4 linked regions of the Oryctolagus cuniculus genome follow. The protein of the gene in region 1 binds, or shares a complex with, the protein of each later gene. Links are inferred from orthologs where the notes say so. Each region holds a gene or a part of one and is shown in the gene's direction. Other genes may lie near its edges.

What was found.
Region 2: NUP205 (region 1) and CETN3 share a complex: the UniProt entries of both Homo sapiens proteins name them as parts of the nuclear pore complex. The link is inferred for Oryctolagus cuniculus from reciprocal best matches to the Homo sapiens genes NUP205 and CETN3.
Region 3: the proteins of NUP205 (region 1) and NUP85 are in contact, whole or in part, in a cryo-EM structure (PDB 7TDZ), measured with the Xenopus laevis proteins. The link is inferred for Oryctolagus cuniculus from reciprocal best matches to the Homo sapiens genes NUP205 and NUP85. Residues at the interface, in XP_041443600.1 of Xenopus laevis: Glu1477, Cys1480, Arg1481, Cys1484, Asp1485, Ser1517, Gly1518, Tyr1519, Leu1520, Lys1521, Val1522, Val1524, Asp1525, Ser1574, Gly1575, Gln1582, Gln1638, Gly1641, Gln1642, Gln1645, Val1648, Leu1690, Asp1691, Ile1692, Gly1693, Leu1694, Asn1695, Asp1696, Gly1697, Ser1698; in XP_041431608.1 of Xenopus laevis: Ala86, Glu87, Glu88, Ala89, Ser90, Gly91, Lys92, Ser93, Arg94, Lys95, Pro156, Pro239, Met240, Gly245, Thr246, Gln247, Thr248, Leu249, Thr250, Glu251, Phe252, Glu253, Leu254, Lys255, Trp256, Gln257, His258, Trp259, Pro315.
Region 4: NUP205 (region 1) and NUP160 share a complex: the UniProt entries of both Homo sapiens proteins name them as parts of the nuclear pore complex. The link is inferred for Oryctolagus cuniculus from reciprocal best matches to the Homo sapiens genes NUP205 and NUP160.

What each region holds. Positions count from the first base shown.
Region 1 is NC_091434.1:171,453,132-171,456,439, forward strand, and holds the end of NUP205 (nuclear pore complex protein Nup205), read left to right. Parts: intron 1-2,397; coding exon 2,398-2,550; 3' UTR 2,551-2,738; downstream 2,739-3,308. UniProt on the Homo sapiens protein: Plays a role in the nuclear pore complex (NPC) assembly and/or maintenance. May anchor NUP62 and other nucleoporins, but not NUP153 and TPR, to the NPC.
Region 2 is NC_091445.1:13,123,428-13,127,093, reverse strand, and holds part of CETN3 (centrin-3), read left to right. Parts: intron 1-2,197; coding exon 2,198-2,389; intron 2,390-3,666. UniProt on the Homo sapiens protein: Plays a fundamental role in microtubule-organizing center structure and function. As a component of the TREX-2 complex, involved in the export of mRNAs to the cytoplasm through the nuclear pores.
Region 3 is NC_091448.1:5,320,654-5,324,319, reverse strand, and holds part of NUP85 (nuclear pore complex protein Nup85), read left to right. Parts: intron 1-415; coding exon 416-578; exon of another isoform or gene 579-631; coding exon of another isoform or gene 632-678; intron 679-3,221; coding exon 3,222-3,292; intron 3,293-3,666. UniProt on the Homo sapiens protein: Essential component of the nuclear pore complex (NPC) that seems to be required for NPC assembly and maintenance. As part of the NPC Nup107-160 subcomplex plays a role in RNA export and in tethering NUP96/Nup98 and NUP153 to the nucleus.
Region 4 is NC_091432.1:18,194,783-18,198,448, forward strand, and holds part of NUP160 (nuclear pore complex protein Nup160), read left to right. Parts: intron 1-1,757; coding exon 1,758-1,857; intron 1,858-2,160; coding exon 2,161-2,326; intron 2,327-3,447; coding exon 3,448-3,575; intron 3,576-3,652; coding exon 3,653-3,666. UniProt on the Homo sapiens protein: Functions as a component of the nuclear pore complex (NPC). Involved in poly(A)+ RNA transport.

The sequences.
Region 1 (3,308 bases):
ATCTAAAACGACATATGCATTCTGGAATACATTGAATTCTAACGTATGGTTCAGGTTAAACCCCCTCTCCTGTCTTACCCAATTGATATTTCTTGAAAACAAGCAAATGGGTTTTTTTCTTTCATAATCGAGATTTTCCTGGTAGTGTTCAGAATCAATACACAGATATTTCCACTTGTGCACATTTCCTAACATATGTACCAAAAATCTAAAAGGCCATGTATTGTGATCCTTTTTAAGAGTTATTCCAAGGCCGGTGCCGCGGCTCACTAGGCTAATCCTCCATCTTGCGGCGAAGAGTTATTCCAGTGACTTTCCAGCTTTGCCTTTGGAGGCAAATTTTCCTTAACAAGATACTAAGTACCAATATCTTCAAATATTGACAAGCTGTTACATAAGTCCCACCAGGCCACAGTTTATCATAAAAATTACATACTCGAATTTTCAGCCTTTCACAACACATTAACAAGTTATTAGGAAAACTGAATCATAACAAAACATGTTAAGGAACATGCCCTGTTGTGACAGGACAGTGGTAAGGAGTGGTTTTCTGTAGGAAACAATTGTACTGAACAACAACAGATTAAATGCACAACTGTGACTCCACAGTGCCGTTTAGTATGCTTTGTAATGAGAGATGTTAGACGTCTGTGGACATCTGTGGACGTCTAAGCTGACACCATGGCAGCCAGAGCCTCCTGTACAGAAAACAGCTGTTCTCTGGTTGGACTGGAAATAACCAACCAGCAGATGATTTCACCTTTAAAAAAATCAGTTACACTTGAAAAAATGGGATGAGATTGGATTCCTTCTTTCTTAGAAAATGTTTCTAGAGCAACTTGAAAACTTGATTTGCAAAAAGTTGATGAAACCATTCCTCTGGATGGTTCAAGAAGGGAGACCAGGACCACTGCTGAGACGGGCGTATGACAGCTGCTTCATCAGGCCAGACGCTCCTTGCTTTTAGTTTCTCTGTTCCTGCTGGCAGATCTCTGGTTTCTTGTTTGAGCCAGTGCGGCCTGTTTTCACTTTGTTTCTCTTCCCTTTGATTTGTACTTTTCTGTCTGAAGATACACTTTGCTGCTGCTTTTTTTTTTTTTTTTTTTTTTTAACTTCATTTCTACTTTTGTAGGAGCAGGTTTGGGGGACCACCCCACCTATCTTCTTGGGCTTACATCCCTCAATTCCTCTTGGGCATCTTGGTGGTGGGAAGGGTGCATGCTGGGTGCCGGTGGGCCACGGCGCACCGAGAGCCTCAGTGAAACAGGGCTGCCTGGCTGCTGCTGCCTCTCCCAAAGCAAGTGTGGTTTTAGAAATTAAACAGTGAAGGATAAAAGCTTTTCTCCCCACCTATTCTTTTTCTATTTTTTTTAAGATTTATTTTATTTAAGGCTGGCGCCGTGGCTCAATAGGCTAATCCTCCGCCTTGCGGCGCCGGCACATTAGGTTCTAGTCCCGGTCAGGGTGCTGGATTTTGTCCCGGTTGCCCCTCTTCCAGTCCAGCTCTCTGCTGTGGCCCAGGAGTGCAGTGGAAGATGGCCCAAGTGCTTGGGCCCTGTACCTGCATGGCAGACCAGGAGAAGCACCTGGCTCCTGGCTTCGGATCAGCGCGATGCGCCGGCCACAGCGTGCCAGCTGCGGCGGCCATTGGAGGGTGAACCAACGGCAAAGGAAGACCTTTCTCTCTGTCTCTCTCTCTCACTGTCCACTCTGCCTGTCAAAAAAAAAAAAAAAAAAAGATTTATTTTATTTATTTGAAAGACAGTTACAGAGAGAAGTAGAGACAGAGAGAGGTCTTCCATCCACTGGTTCACTCCCCAGATGGCTAGAGCTGCACCAATCTGAAGCCAGGAACTTCTTCCAGGTCTCCCATGTGGGTGCAGGGGCCCAAGGACTTGGGCCATCTTCCACTGCTTTCCCAGGCCACAGCAGAGAGCAGCATCGGAAGTGGAGCTGCTGGAACTCTGCTGGCGCCCATATGGGATGCCGGCGCCTCAGACCAGGGCTTTAACCCGCTGCGCCACGGCACCGGCACACCTACTCTTCTTTTTTAAAAGCACATACTGTTAGCCAACTTGTTGTGTAGCCCCTTAGGATATGTGTTTGTGTGCTTGACGATATGTCAGCATTAGCATCAAGTTGCTGTTTAAAGCACATTTAAAAATCCCCACATTTGTACAGCAAAGGAGAGAAGAGCACTAGAATCATACCAGAAATCCGGACAGAAAATGTGAACAGCCGGGTCAGTTCACTTGGTTCCATGTTACAGTTCCAAATATTTTATGTTGGAAAGACCACGTTACAAAATTTCAGAGGTATTTACAATTGGAAGATGGGAAAAGATAAATATTTGAGATGGTAACTTTAATAATAAAATTTCATCTGTCTTACCTCTAGCTTCAGGCTGATGCCAACAACGCTTTTGGAGAGTCACTACAGAAGAAACTTCTAGACATTGAAGGACTGTACTCAAAGGTTCGGTCTCGCTACAGTTTCATCCAGGCTCTTGTCAGACGGATCCGTGGCCTCATGAGGATATCCAGGAACTGAGCCCCTGCTGTGTTCTTCTGTGGAAGAGGAATTGGGGAAAACTGTCTCCTTTTTGTGGATTAGTTTGTTTCTAAATTATGACCAAAAATATTTTGCTATTTCTTTCTTTATATATGGACACTTTTGTGTAAATCTCTTTGCCTGGATCCATCCTCACTAGTGAAAAATAAATACTTTTTTAAAAACAACCATGGTCCTTTTAAAATGCACCAACTTTCTACAGTGATGGTTTTTCCCCAGATACATTGTCCTGAATGCTAAACTTTAAAAGAGTAGTCTGGAAATTCTAATTTTTTCACCCTTTGGGCCTGTGGTACACTTTTACTGCATGGGGAAGAGTGGATAATTAACTGTGTCCATTATCTGTTAGAGTGGTTTACTCAGTCTGAAAGTTTGTGATAGAAATGTCTCAAAAAGTCAAGCTATGCCTTCTACAGTAATTTAGCTTTTGCCCCCCTCTTCCTGTTCTGCTCATGAAAGGACAATGTAATAATTTGCATTTGTTCCTTAGAAATGATTACAGAATTAACCATCTGCCCATCTTTCTCGGATAATTAACATGAGCACTAAAAATTCACCTAATCCTCCCCGTGTTTCTTGCTCAAGTGTTTATGTGACTACTTTATCGGAAAGTGGATGTTTGCTCTCCAGCCAGCAATTGTTTCAACCTAATGACTAGGACAGACTGCTGATGGGGAGAAGATCGAATCTCACATCACAGCAGAAAATTAATACTTCCTTCAATGATATTAGAGTGT
Region 2 (3,666 bases), on another chromosome or scaffold:
AGCAAACTGTTGAAATACTTACTTAAGGTATACTAAGCTGATCTTCTGTATATTAAGATAATCGAAAATGAATCTTGATGTGAATGGAAGGGGAGAGGGAGTGGGAAAGGGGAGGGTTGTGGGTGGGAGGGACGGTATGGGGGGGGGAAGCCATTGTAACACATGAGTCGTACTTTGGAAATTTATATTCATTAAATAAAAGATTAAAAAAAAAAAAGTACATGAGATGTATATTTAGATTTTTTCAAAATTTTATTTAGTAACTTAGAAAACTTTAATTCATTAATTTTTGCTTCAGTATGTGTTATTGTGGTTATGGATTAAAGACTGGTAATATAAAAAAATTAAGCTTACTAAATTGTTAGATATGGTTATATTTAGTATATTAACATATACTATCAGAATACACTATTACTGTTGAGCTCTGAAATTACATTTTGTTTAGTTGTTTGAGAGTTATTATCTTGTCTAAAAATGTTAGAGAGACTTCCTTTGTTTAGTTGTTTGGTGTGTTTGTGTGTGTGGCTTACTTAGTATAATAGATTCAATCTTTTTTTTAAGATTTATTTATTTATTTGAAAGGCAGAGTTACAGAGAAGCAGAGGCAGAGAGAGAGAAAGAGAGGTCTTCCATCTGTTGGTTCACTTCTCAACTGGCCACAATGGCCAGAGCTGGGCCGAACCAAAGCAGGAAGCCCAGAGCTTCCTCCAGGTATCCCACGTAGGTTTAGAGGCCCAAGGACTTGGGCCATCTTCTGGTTTTCCAGACCATACCAGAGAGCTGGATCAGAAGTGGAGCAGCCAGGACTTGAACCGGCACCCGTATGGGATGCTGACACTGCAGACAGTGGGTTTACCCACTACGCTACAGCATCAGCCACAGATTCAGTCTTTGTAACTGCTTTTCACGTTTTGGAAATTCAAGATGCTCTTCTAGCAGAAGGTGTTGTGGTGCAATGGGTTAAGCTGCCGCCTGGGACACCTATGTCCCATATTTGAGTAGGGTTTGAGTCCCAGCTCCTCTGCTCCTGATTCAGCTTCCTGCTAATGCTCCTGGGAGGCAGCAGATGATGGCCTGAGTACTCAGGCCCCTGCCACCTATGGGGGAGACCCCAATGGAGTTCCAGGCTCCTGGGTTCCATCTAGTTTAGCTCAGGCTGCTGCAGGCATTTGGAGAGTGAACTAGCTGGTGGAAGATCCATCTCTCTCTGACTCTCCCTCTCGGTTTCTCTGCCTTCCATATAAATAAATAAATCTTAAAAATAAAAAAGAGTTCTTGTAATCATGTGAAATGTTCGTCTCTTGTCTGAGATTGTGCCTATATCAATGATGGCTGTGATTTTGTTAATCTTTCGTTTTTAAATTTGGGAAAGAATTAGTTTTAGCAATAAGTGTAGTCAGCAAACAGCTTTTATTTAGTTTCTTCTAATTGTGTTGATATGTCTCTGTAACTAGGTTACAAATGTGTAGACTTGTGTGCTTAATGTCAGTGGAGCTTAGTACGACTTTTGATAATAGTAGACCGTAAGTAAGGAAAGTATGAGAATAGCCCTGTTTATTTTGCCTTCACGTGATACAGTTTTGCTTGCTCTTATAAGTCAAATTGTTGATAATAAAAAGGTTTATATAATATCAGTTTTTTTTTCTGGCCGGCGCCGCAGCTCACTAGGCTAATCCTCCGCCTTGCGGCGCCAGCACACCGGGTTCTAGTCCCGGTCGGGGCGCCGGATTCTGTCCCGGTTGCCCCTCTTCCAGGCCAGCCCTCTGCTGTGGCCAGGGAGTGCAGTGGAGGATGGCCCAGGTGCTTGGGCCCTGCACCCCATGGGAGACCAGGAGAAGCACCTGGCTCCTGCCATCGGATAGGCGCGGTGCGCCGGCCGCAGCACGCCGGCCGCGGCAGCCATTGGAGGGTGAACCAATGGCAAAGGAAGACCTTTCTCTCTGTCTCTCTCTCTCACTGTCCACTCTGCCTGTCAAAAAAATAAATAAAAATAAAAAAAAAATCAGTGTTTTTTCTAATATCAATTTGGTTTTTCTAATTTCACATTTATTTGGATTTGAGGAAATAACATGACATTTTATTGTCACATTAAATGTTGACATACTCATAGCTTTGATTGTCATCCAATGTTTAGTTGACCTTACAAATGAAAGCCTTTGTGATAATGAAGGCTTAAAAAGTTTCTTTTTAACTGCAGTGACAGACTGGATATTGGAAAGAGATCCACATGAAGAAATCCTGAAGGCATTTAAACTATTTGATGATGATGATTCAGGGAAAATCAGCTTGAGGAATTTGCGACGTGTTGCCAGAGAACTGGGTGAAAACATGAGTGATGAAGAGCTGCGAGCTATGATAGAGGAATTTGATAAGGATGGTGATGGAGAAAGTAAGTTTTGGGTAAAACATGTTTGTAGTGTCATGATGCTGTGCATCTAATACATGTTTCTGAAACTTAAAGACCTTCAAGACCCCTTGCAAGCTATCACTTATTCAGTGTATTTGTTGTTCAACCTGTAATGAGCTGTGTGCATACTCAATTTAGAGTGAAGTGGATTGTAATACCAATGACATGAGAGTCCATACTTCAGGTAGGTACTTTACTATTCTCTGAAGATGAAACATCTCTGAAATTTCAGCTTCTTAGTAAAACTTTGATGCCTCTTTCCTTAACCTGTGTGCATGTCTAAGCTCTTAGGAAGTTGCCTTGATTTTACCCTTCAGATGTTGATAGTTTATTTTTTACTTTGTCCACTGCTGCTGTCCTAGCTCAGAACCTAATTTCTTTTCAAGAATATTATGTTAGCCTTTATTTTGAGTGCCGTGTCCCATGTGCTGATTGCTACATAGTGACATAGACAGATACGGTTCCTGCCTTCCCTTTGTAGTCTCTTGTCTCCTCTCTTCCCATACTCTAGGCCAATAAGCCTCTGATTGCTACTTCTTCAGTCTATTGATTGTATAGACATCAAATCTAAAATACAGATTTGATGATGCCATTCCTGTGTGCTAACACAGAATGATTCCTCGCTGCCTCCAGCCTGAAGTTCAGAACCTTTTGTCATCTGTTCCACGTTAGTAACTAGTTTTATTTCCCACTGTATTCTACTTTAACCCTCCCTTTCCATATGTACATACTTTGACAATACTCTTGAGTATTTAGAAAAGATGCTTTGAAGCTGTGCCTTTTGTCATCTGTGCCTTTTGTCAGGGCTTTTCTTGATCTCAGAATGCACTAATTGCTGCCGTGTGTCTGCTAAAATGTTGCTCTTTGTCCCAGGTACATTTTAAATGCCATATTTTTCTCAAAATCCACCCCTAATGCCTCTGACTGTATGAATTATGAGACTTCCATTGAGGGCCCGTAGTGTATAGAGGAGCAAACTGGAAACTTTAACTTTTGGTTGCAAACCACATTTTGTTTAGAAATACAAACTGCTTTTTTACTTTCCTACTTCTGTGGATTTTAGTAATTCTATGTTTGTGAATTTTTCACTCTGCAGTTTCTAACAGCAATGAACATATTTGTTATATTTATTGAATAATAAACATGATAAGTGTGGAGTTAAAGGCAAACCAGTACTATACAGGAAAGCTGTGGTAATGATATAGAAAGGATTGTGTCCCCATCATCACAATACAGCTTTTTGGAAAAATATATGAAAC
Region 3 (3,666 bases), on another chromosome or scaffold:
AGGCTGAAGCCAGGAGCCAAGAGCTTCATCTAGGTCTCACACATGGGTGCGAGGGGTCCAAGCACTTGGGCCATCTTCCACTGCTTCCCCCGGCACATTAGCATGGAGTGGGATCAGAAGTGGAGTAACGGATTAGAACTGGCAACCATATGGGATGCTGGTGTTGTGGGCGATGGCTTAACCCACGACACCAACAGTGCCGGCCCCTCGCCAGCCACCAGCACTTTGCAGGATGTGTGTCACAAGTGGTAGCTTATCCTGCTGTGCCACAGCACCCGCGTTGCATTGCTTTACTTTTTGTAAGTCAGGGGTGAGGAAGCCAAAGCTTTTGTATTTAGACCGTTCGGATTTTCAGAGTGGATTCTCTCAGGGTGATGATGAGAGATGTTAAATCTTTTTTTCTGTTTACTTTCAGGAAAATCGGAGATGGTGCCGTGCTGCCCCTTTATCTATATCATCCGGAAGGATGTAGGCGTGTACTCTCAGATCTTGAGAAAACTCTTCAATGAATCCCATGGAATCTTCGTGGGCCTCCAAAGAATTGAGGAAGAATTCACGGGAAAGTCCAGAAAAGCTCAGTGAGTCGCTGCTGATAGGTGCCTGAGTCCACAGCCACGTTGTGAACAGCCAGATGGAGTGTGCCCTTGTCCTGTGGTGCCTGGGCGGTCACCTGGGGAAGTAAGCGGCTCCTGGCTCTGGCGGTGGCCTGCACGTTGCCCAGCAGGCGCATTCTGGAGGGAGTGTGCACTTGCTGTGGATTCACTGGCTGGCTGCCTGAGCTTTACGTGTAGTACGTGTATGTTCTACTTCATTATGCAGAGAAGTGAAGTTGGCCCAGATTAGCTCCTGAGCGTCACTGAGCGAGGCCCTATGGTTGGGGGATTCGGAAATCAGCAAAACAGTGCGAGTTCTGTTTGGTCCTTGAGGAATCACTTTTGGGCTCCTTTACTCCCGATCTCTCTCTCTCTCCGTCTCCCGATCTCTCTCTCTCTCTCTCCGTCTCCCGATCTCTCTCTCTCTCCGTCTCCCGATCTCTCTCTCTCCGTCTCCCGATCTCTCTCTCTCTCCGTCTCCCGATCTCTCTCTTTCACTCCGTCTCCCAAGCTCTCTCTCTCTCTCTCCGTCTCCCGATCTCGCTCTCTCTCTCCGTCTCCCAAGCTCTCTCTCTCCGTCTCTTGATCTTTCTCGCTCTGTCGCTCTCTCTTATCCTCTCCTTCTCCCTCTTTTTTCTTCTTTGCCCCTTCCCTCCCATCTACTGGGTTTCCCCCAGTAAACCTTTCCCTTACCCTGGTGTTCGATCTGTCTTGTGGTGGGCTTACATTGGTGCCGTGACTCAAATCCAGGCTCCCTCAGTGATTCTGTTCTCACTTCGGGGATCTCTGAGCTGCCCTGGGGTCCTGGATTTCTGCCAGTCACAAAGCACAGCCCCAGAACTCCTTCCACGCCACCGAAAGCTTCGTGATCCCCATCCACACACTGGCCTTCCAAATTCTGAGTATTTACAGGAGGGGATAATGGAACGAACCAAGGCCTTCACCAACCAGGTGGTCAGCCAAGTGCTGCTACAGGGGTATACTCAGCTCCCCACCCAGGAGTCAGTGGCTTCAGACAACGCCCATGACAGCAGAGAGTACCTCGTTACCCTGTGTCAACAGGAGGTAGCTCTAAAGACACATCATCGTCCCTCTACTCCTGGACTTTTGGGGCTAACGTAATCCCATACAACTCTTGGTTTGTAAAAAACAAAAGGAGGGAATGTTAGTAAAATGGCGCAGTCTCATCTGTGGCACAGTCTATGCCCCAGACATATTTTGAACTAATTTTAGACTTACAGAAGAGTTAGAAAAATAGTGTATGTCTCCCACCTGGCTTCCCTAATATCAGTATCTTAGAAAACTGTATTTACTGTTATTAAAACCAGTTAACACTGACGACTAACTGAAGACCTTACTTGAATTTCCCCGATTTTTGCACTAATGTCTTTTTTTCCTTCTGCAGCTGAATGAGGTTGCACTTGGTTCTTTTGCTTAGTCTCCCCATGACCACTACACTTTGGCAGAGCACTGTCTGCTTTATGGGGTGTCCCTCAGCCTGAGTTTGTCAGCTGTTCTCTCGTAACTGGACAAAGACCATGCACTTACTAGCAAGGACACTGCAGAAGTTGCGATTGTGCATAAGGCTCCTGGTGTCGACATTCGGTTACTGGTGGTGTTTACCTTGGTTACTGCGTTGTCTGCTGTTTCTGCTGGGTAGACCACCGTTAGCTGGGAACTCTCTGCTTTTTTTTTTTTAAGATTTTTTTTTTATTTATATGAAGGAAAGAGGTAGAGAGAGAGGGAGATCTTCCACCTGCTGGTTCTCTCCCCAAATGACTGCTCCCTAAATGGGTGTTGGTGCGGGTGCCTGAGGATTTGGGCCATCCTCTGCTGCTTTCCCAGGTGCATTAGCAGGGAGCTGGATAGGAAGTGGAGCAGCTGGGACTTGTACTGGTGCCGGTGGGGCAGGCTGGGGCTTTAACCTGCTGTGCCAGAGCACCAACCACCGCCCCCACCTTTTCTATCCCTTTCCCTCCCCCTTTCCCTTCCCCTCTCCGTTTTGTTAAATATTTATTTATTTGTTGGAAAGGCAGGGTTAGAGAAGGAAAGACAGAGAGAGAGATCTTCAATTTGCTGGTTCACTTCCCAAAAAGCTATAACAGCTGGAGCTGAGCTGACCTGAAGTCAGGAGCTAGGAGGTGCTTCTGGGTCTCCCACATGGGTGCAGGGCCCAGATACTTGGGCCATCCTCTGCTACTTTCCCAGGAGCATCAGCAGGGAGTTGGATCAGAAGTGGAGCAGCTGGGATTGAACTGGTGCCCACATGGGATGCAGGCGCTGCAGCTGACAGCTTTACCTGCTATGCCACAGTGCCAGCCCTGCTTTGACACCTGAAATCCTATTTCTTCTTACATTTTCACCCACTCATTTTAGTATCTGTCGGTGGATCTGATCTGCAACAACTGATATCAGTATGGAGTCTTGGGCTTTTTTTTTTTTTAATATATACCATGATTTATGTTATATTTTACTTGTTTTGTTACTCAAGTTGTTCTAGCTCTGCAGTATCTGGAGCTCCTTCAGGTTGGCTCCTGTGATCTGTAAATTCCTTTTTTTTGAGCCCTTCCTTACTTTCTGGCTCCACAGATGTTCCAGGCTCATCTTCTATCTGCTTCATTTTTGTAGGCTGGTTCGTGTGAGTAAAAACTACCGTTCAGTCATCAGAGCGTGTATGGAGGAAATGCACCAGACGACAAGTAAGGAGGGGGTAGTGTTTTGCCCTTTTTTTTTTTTTTTTTAAGATTTATTTATTATTTGAAAGGGAGAGTTCCAGAGAGGCAAAACCAGAGAGAGGGGGAGGTTTTCCATCTGTTGGTTCACTCCCCAAATGGCTGCAGTGGCCGGAGCTGGGCTAATTCAATCTGAAGCCAAGAGCCAGGAGTTCCTCTGGGTCTCCCATGCGAGTGCAGGGGCCCAAGCACTTGGGCCATCTTCCACTGCTTTCCCAGGCCATAGCAGAGAGCTGGATCAGAAGTGGAGAAGCCAGGATTCAAACTGGGACCCAGATGATGGTGGCTTTACCTGCTGTGCCACAGTGCTGGCCCCTTGTTTTTTGTTTGTTTTTGTTAAA
Region 4 (3,666 bases), on another chromosome or scaffold:
GCATTAGTAAGAAACTGGAATTAAAAGCAAAGCTGGAATTCAAATCCCAGCACTCTAGTTTAGACGTCCCTCTCAAACAGTATTTTTTTTTAGGATCTATTTATATTTATTTTTTCAAAAATTATTTATCTTTTCAGGAGAGCAACAGAGTGAAAGATGTATTGATCTTCTATCTACTGGTTCATTCACCCAAATATTCACAACAGCCAGGTCCAAACCAGGCCAAAGCTAGGAACCAGGAAATAAATACATCCTGGTCTCCCACATGGGTGGCCTGGGCCCAAGTATTTGGCTCGTCTTCTGTTGCCTTCCCAGGCTCGTTAGCAGGAAATTGGATCAGAAGCAGAGCTACTGAGATTCCTCAAGTGGCATCTTAACCCACTGTGCCACAACACTGGCTTTACTAGTGGTGTCTTGACTTATGACCAAATGCCCACCCTGATCTATTTTGTTTTACATTTGATTTTTAAATTTATTTATTTAATAGATAATAAAAAATTAAAATTAAAGTAGAATAAAACATTATATTTTATTTGTTGAATAAATGATAAAAATTAAAAATAGCATAAAAATTTTTTTTTTTTTTTTGACAGGCAGAGTTGGACAGTGAGAGAGAGAGACAGAGAGAAAGGTCTTCCTTTTGCCGTTGGTTCACCCTCCAATGGCTGCTGCGGCCGGCGCGCTACGGCCAGTGCACCGCGCTGATCCGATGGCAGGAGCCAGGTACTTCTCCTGGTCTCCCATGGAGTGCAGGGCCTAAGCACTTGGGCCATCCTCCACTGCACTCCCTGGCCACAGCAGAGAGCTGGCCTGGAAGAGGGGCAACTGGGACAGAATCCGGCGCCCTGACCGGGACTAGAACCCAGTGTGCCGGCGCCGCAGGGCGGAGGATTAGCCTAGTGAGCCGCGGTGCCGGCCTAGAAAGCCTTCATCCAGATCCATCTTTTAATTTCCATTTGTGATTCTTCTTTGTATAAATATGTTTTTTTTTCTGGGCCATTTGAGAGTTTTCTTCCCAGCTTGTAGCATCATGCACTTTTTTTTTTTTTTTAAGATATATTTATTTATTTGAAAGGATACAGAGAGAGAAGGAGAGACAGAGAGCTTTCATCTGCTTGTTCACTCCCCAAATGGCTGCAACAACTGGGGCTAGGCCAGGCTGAAGCCAGGAGCCAGAAGCTTAATGCAGGTCTTCAGCATGGATACAGCAGCCCAAGGACTTGGGCCATCTTCTGCTACTTTCCCAGAAGCATTAGCAGGAAGCTGATCAGACATGGAGCAGCAGGACATGAACTTGTGCTGGTGCTATAGGCTATGGCTTAATCCACTGTGCCACAGTGCTGGTCCCAGACATCATGCCCTTTTGTCCTTAAAAACTTCAGCAAGTCTCTAAAAGCATGGATGTTTATCCTAAATAACCACAGTAGAATTTAAAGATCAACAATTTGATATTGATACATTATTACACAGTTAATAATTTTTCCAGTTGTGCCCATAATTTTCTTTGTGATCCAAGATCCAATCCGAGGACCTAGATATATCTAGTTGTCTTGTTTATTTAACTTAATCTTGAACTATCTTCAGCCTTTCTTTGTCTTTCATGACTGACATTTTTCTGATGACTACACATGTATTTTTTACAGTGTCCATCAACTGGAGTTTCTCTGGTGTTGCCTCATGATAAAACTCACATCACAATTATTTTATACCTTTAAAAATTCACTGAAAAAATGTAACCAGAATATTTCAATTTCCAGGGGTACCTGTCTTTTCTTATGCCCTCTTCCCTAGTGGACCATTTGTATCTACTGCCTGATGAGAACCTGTTGACAGAGGATGAGACAACCATATCTGATGGTAATGATTGTTATTTGTATGTTTATTCCCTTTCCTACATGAACCTGTGCTTTATTACAAGTACATGCAAAATATACTCTGGTTTCTCTTCAGATCGTATAAATCTTTCACCTTTTACAAGTACATGCAAAGGACATTGATTACCACTGGCCATTTTACCACATTGTAGATACTTCAAGGGAAGATATAGAGGCCTCCATATCTCAAAGACATCAGATAGATGTCTGGGCATTTAATAATTAACAATATAATATTAATTAGATCACTGATTTGAGACTAGAATGTTAACTTTTCTCTTCCTAGATGTGGATGTTGCTCGAGATGTCATATGTCTTATAAAATGTCTTCGGCTGATTGGAGAGTCCGTAAATATGGACATGTCAGTTATGATGGAAATGAGTTGCTACAACCTACAGTCTCCAGAGAAGGCTGCGGAACAGATTCTGGAAGATTTGATCACTGTTGATGTGTAAGGAGAACTTAGGGTAAAGTGCATTTCCTAATGGAAATTCAGCAATTTTTAGTGCCAAATCGAATTTTTGTATGCAAAAGAGTGTTCAAATTAATGGCTTGAAGATAAAATGAATTGTCATGATTCTCAATAGATATTTCAGCTTTTGGACAATTTTTTTAAATAAATCTTTGTCTTTTTTTTAAGAATTATTGATTTATTTAAAAGGCAGAGTTACAGAGAGGCAGAGAGAGAGAGAGGTCTCCATCTGTTGGTTCATTCCTCAGGTGGCTTCAACAACTGGAGCTGGGCCCATCTGAAGCCAGGAGCCAGGAGCTTCTTGGTCTCCCACGTGGGTGCAGGGGCCCAAGAACTTGGGCCATCTTCTACTGTGTTCCCAGGCCATGTATAGAGCTGGATTGGAAGAGGAGCAGCCAGGACTCGAACCAGCACCCATATGGGACACAAGCACTACAGGTGGTGGCTTTACCCACTATGCCACGACGCCAGCCCCCAGAAATTTGTTTAAGGGTTTTTTTTTTTTTTTTTTTTTTTTTTTAAGATTTGTTTGTTTGTTTGAAAGTCAAAGTTACAGAGAGAATCTTCCATCTTCTGGTTCACTCCCCAGATGGCTATAATGGCCAGGCCAAAGCCAGGAGCCAGGAACTTCATCTGGGTCTCCCATGTGGATGACAGGGGCCTTGGACCATCTTCTCCTGCTTTCCCAGGCCATTAGCAGGAAGCTGGATCAGCAGTGGAGCAGCTGGGACTTGTACTGGTGCCCATGTGGGATGTAGCCGGGACACGAGCTAGATGTCATGGGCTGTGGCTTTATCCAGTATGCCACAACACCAGCCCCAAACAGAAATTCTAACACATGCAGATTCCTAAGCTGTGATACAGCTATTAATTATTGATTCTAAAAAGAAAAAGTAGTTTCCTCACAATCATCTTGTTTGCCAGTTCTGAAAAGTTGAAAGAAATTTTGCTGTGTGGTATCTCGTATACCTGAACAGTTGTGTCTCCTGCTTTATCACGTTGCTGGCTTTCCTGTGTCACAGAGCATTTAGTTTACAGGACATTGGGTATTCTTGGTAGTATTCTTGGTAGTAACAGAAGTTTCCTGATTGCCTCTGTAGAGAAAATGTGCTAGAGGATATTTGTAGTAAACTGCAAGAAATTCGGAATCCAATCCAGGCCATTGGCGTTCTTATACGGGAAATGGATTATGAAACAGACGTGGAAATGGAAAAGGGATTCAATCCAGGTAAATGACAGAACAGCCAAAGTACCTCTTGGCTTTAGAGAAAGCAGTGATACATTTAACTTTATTTCTTATTTCAGCTCAGCCTTTAAAT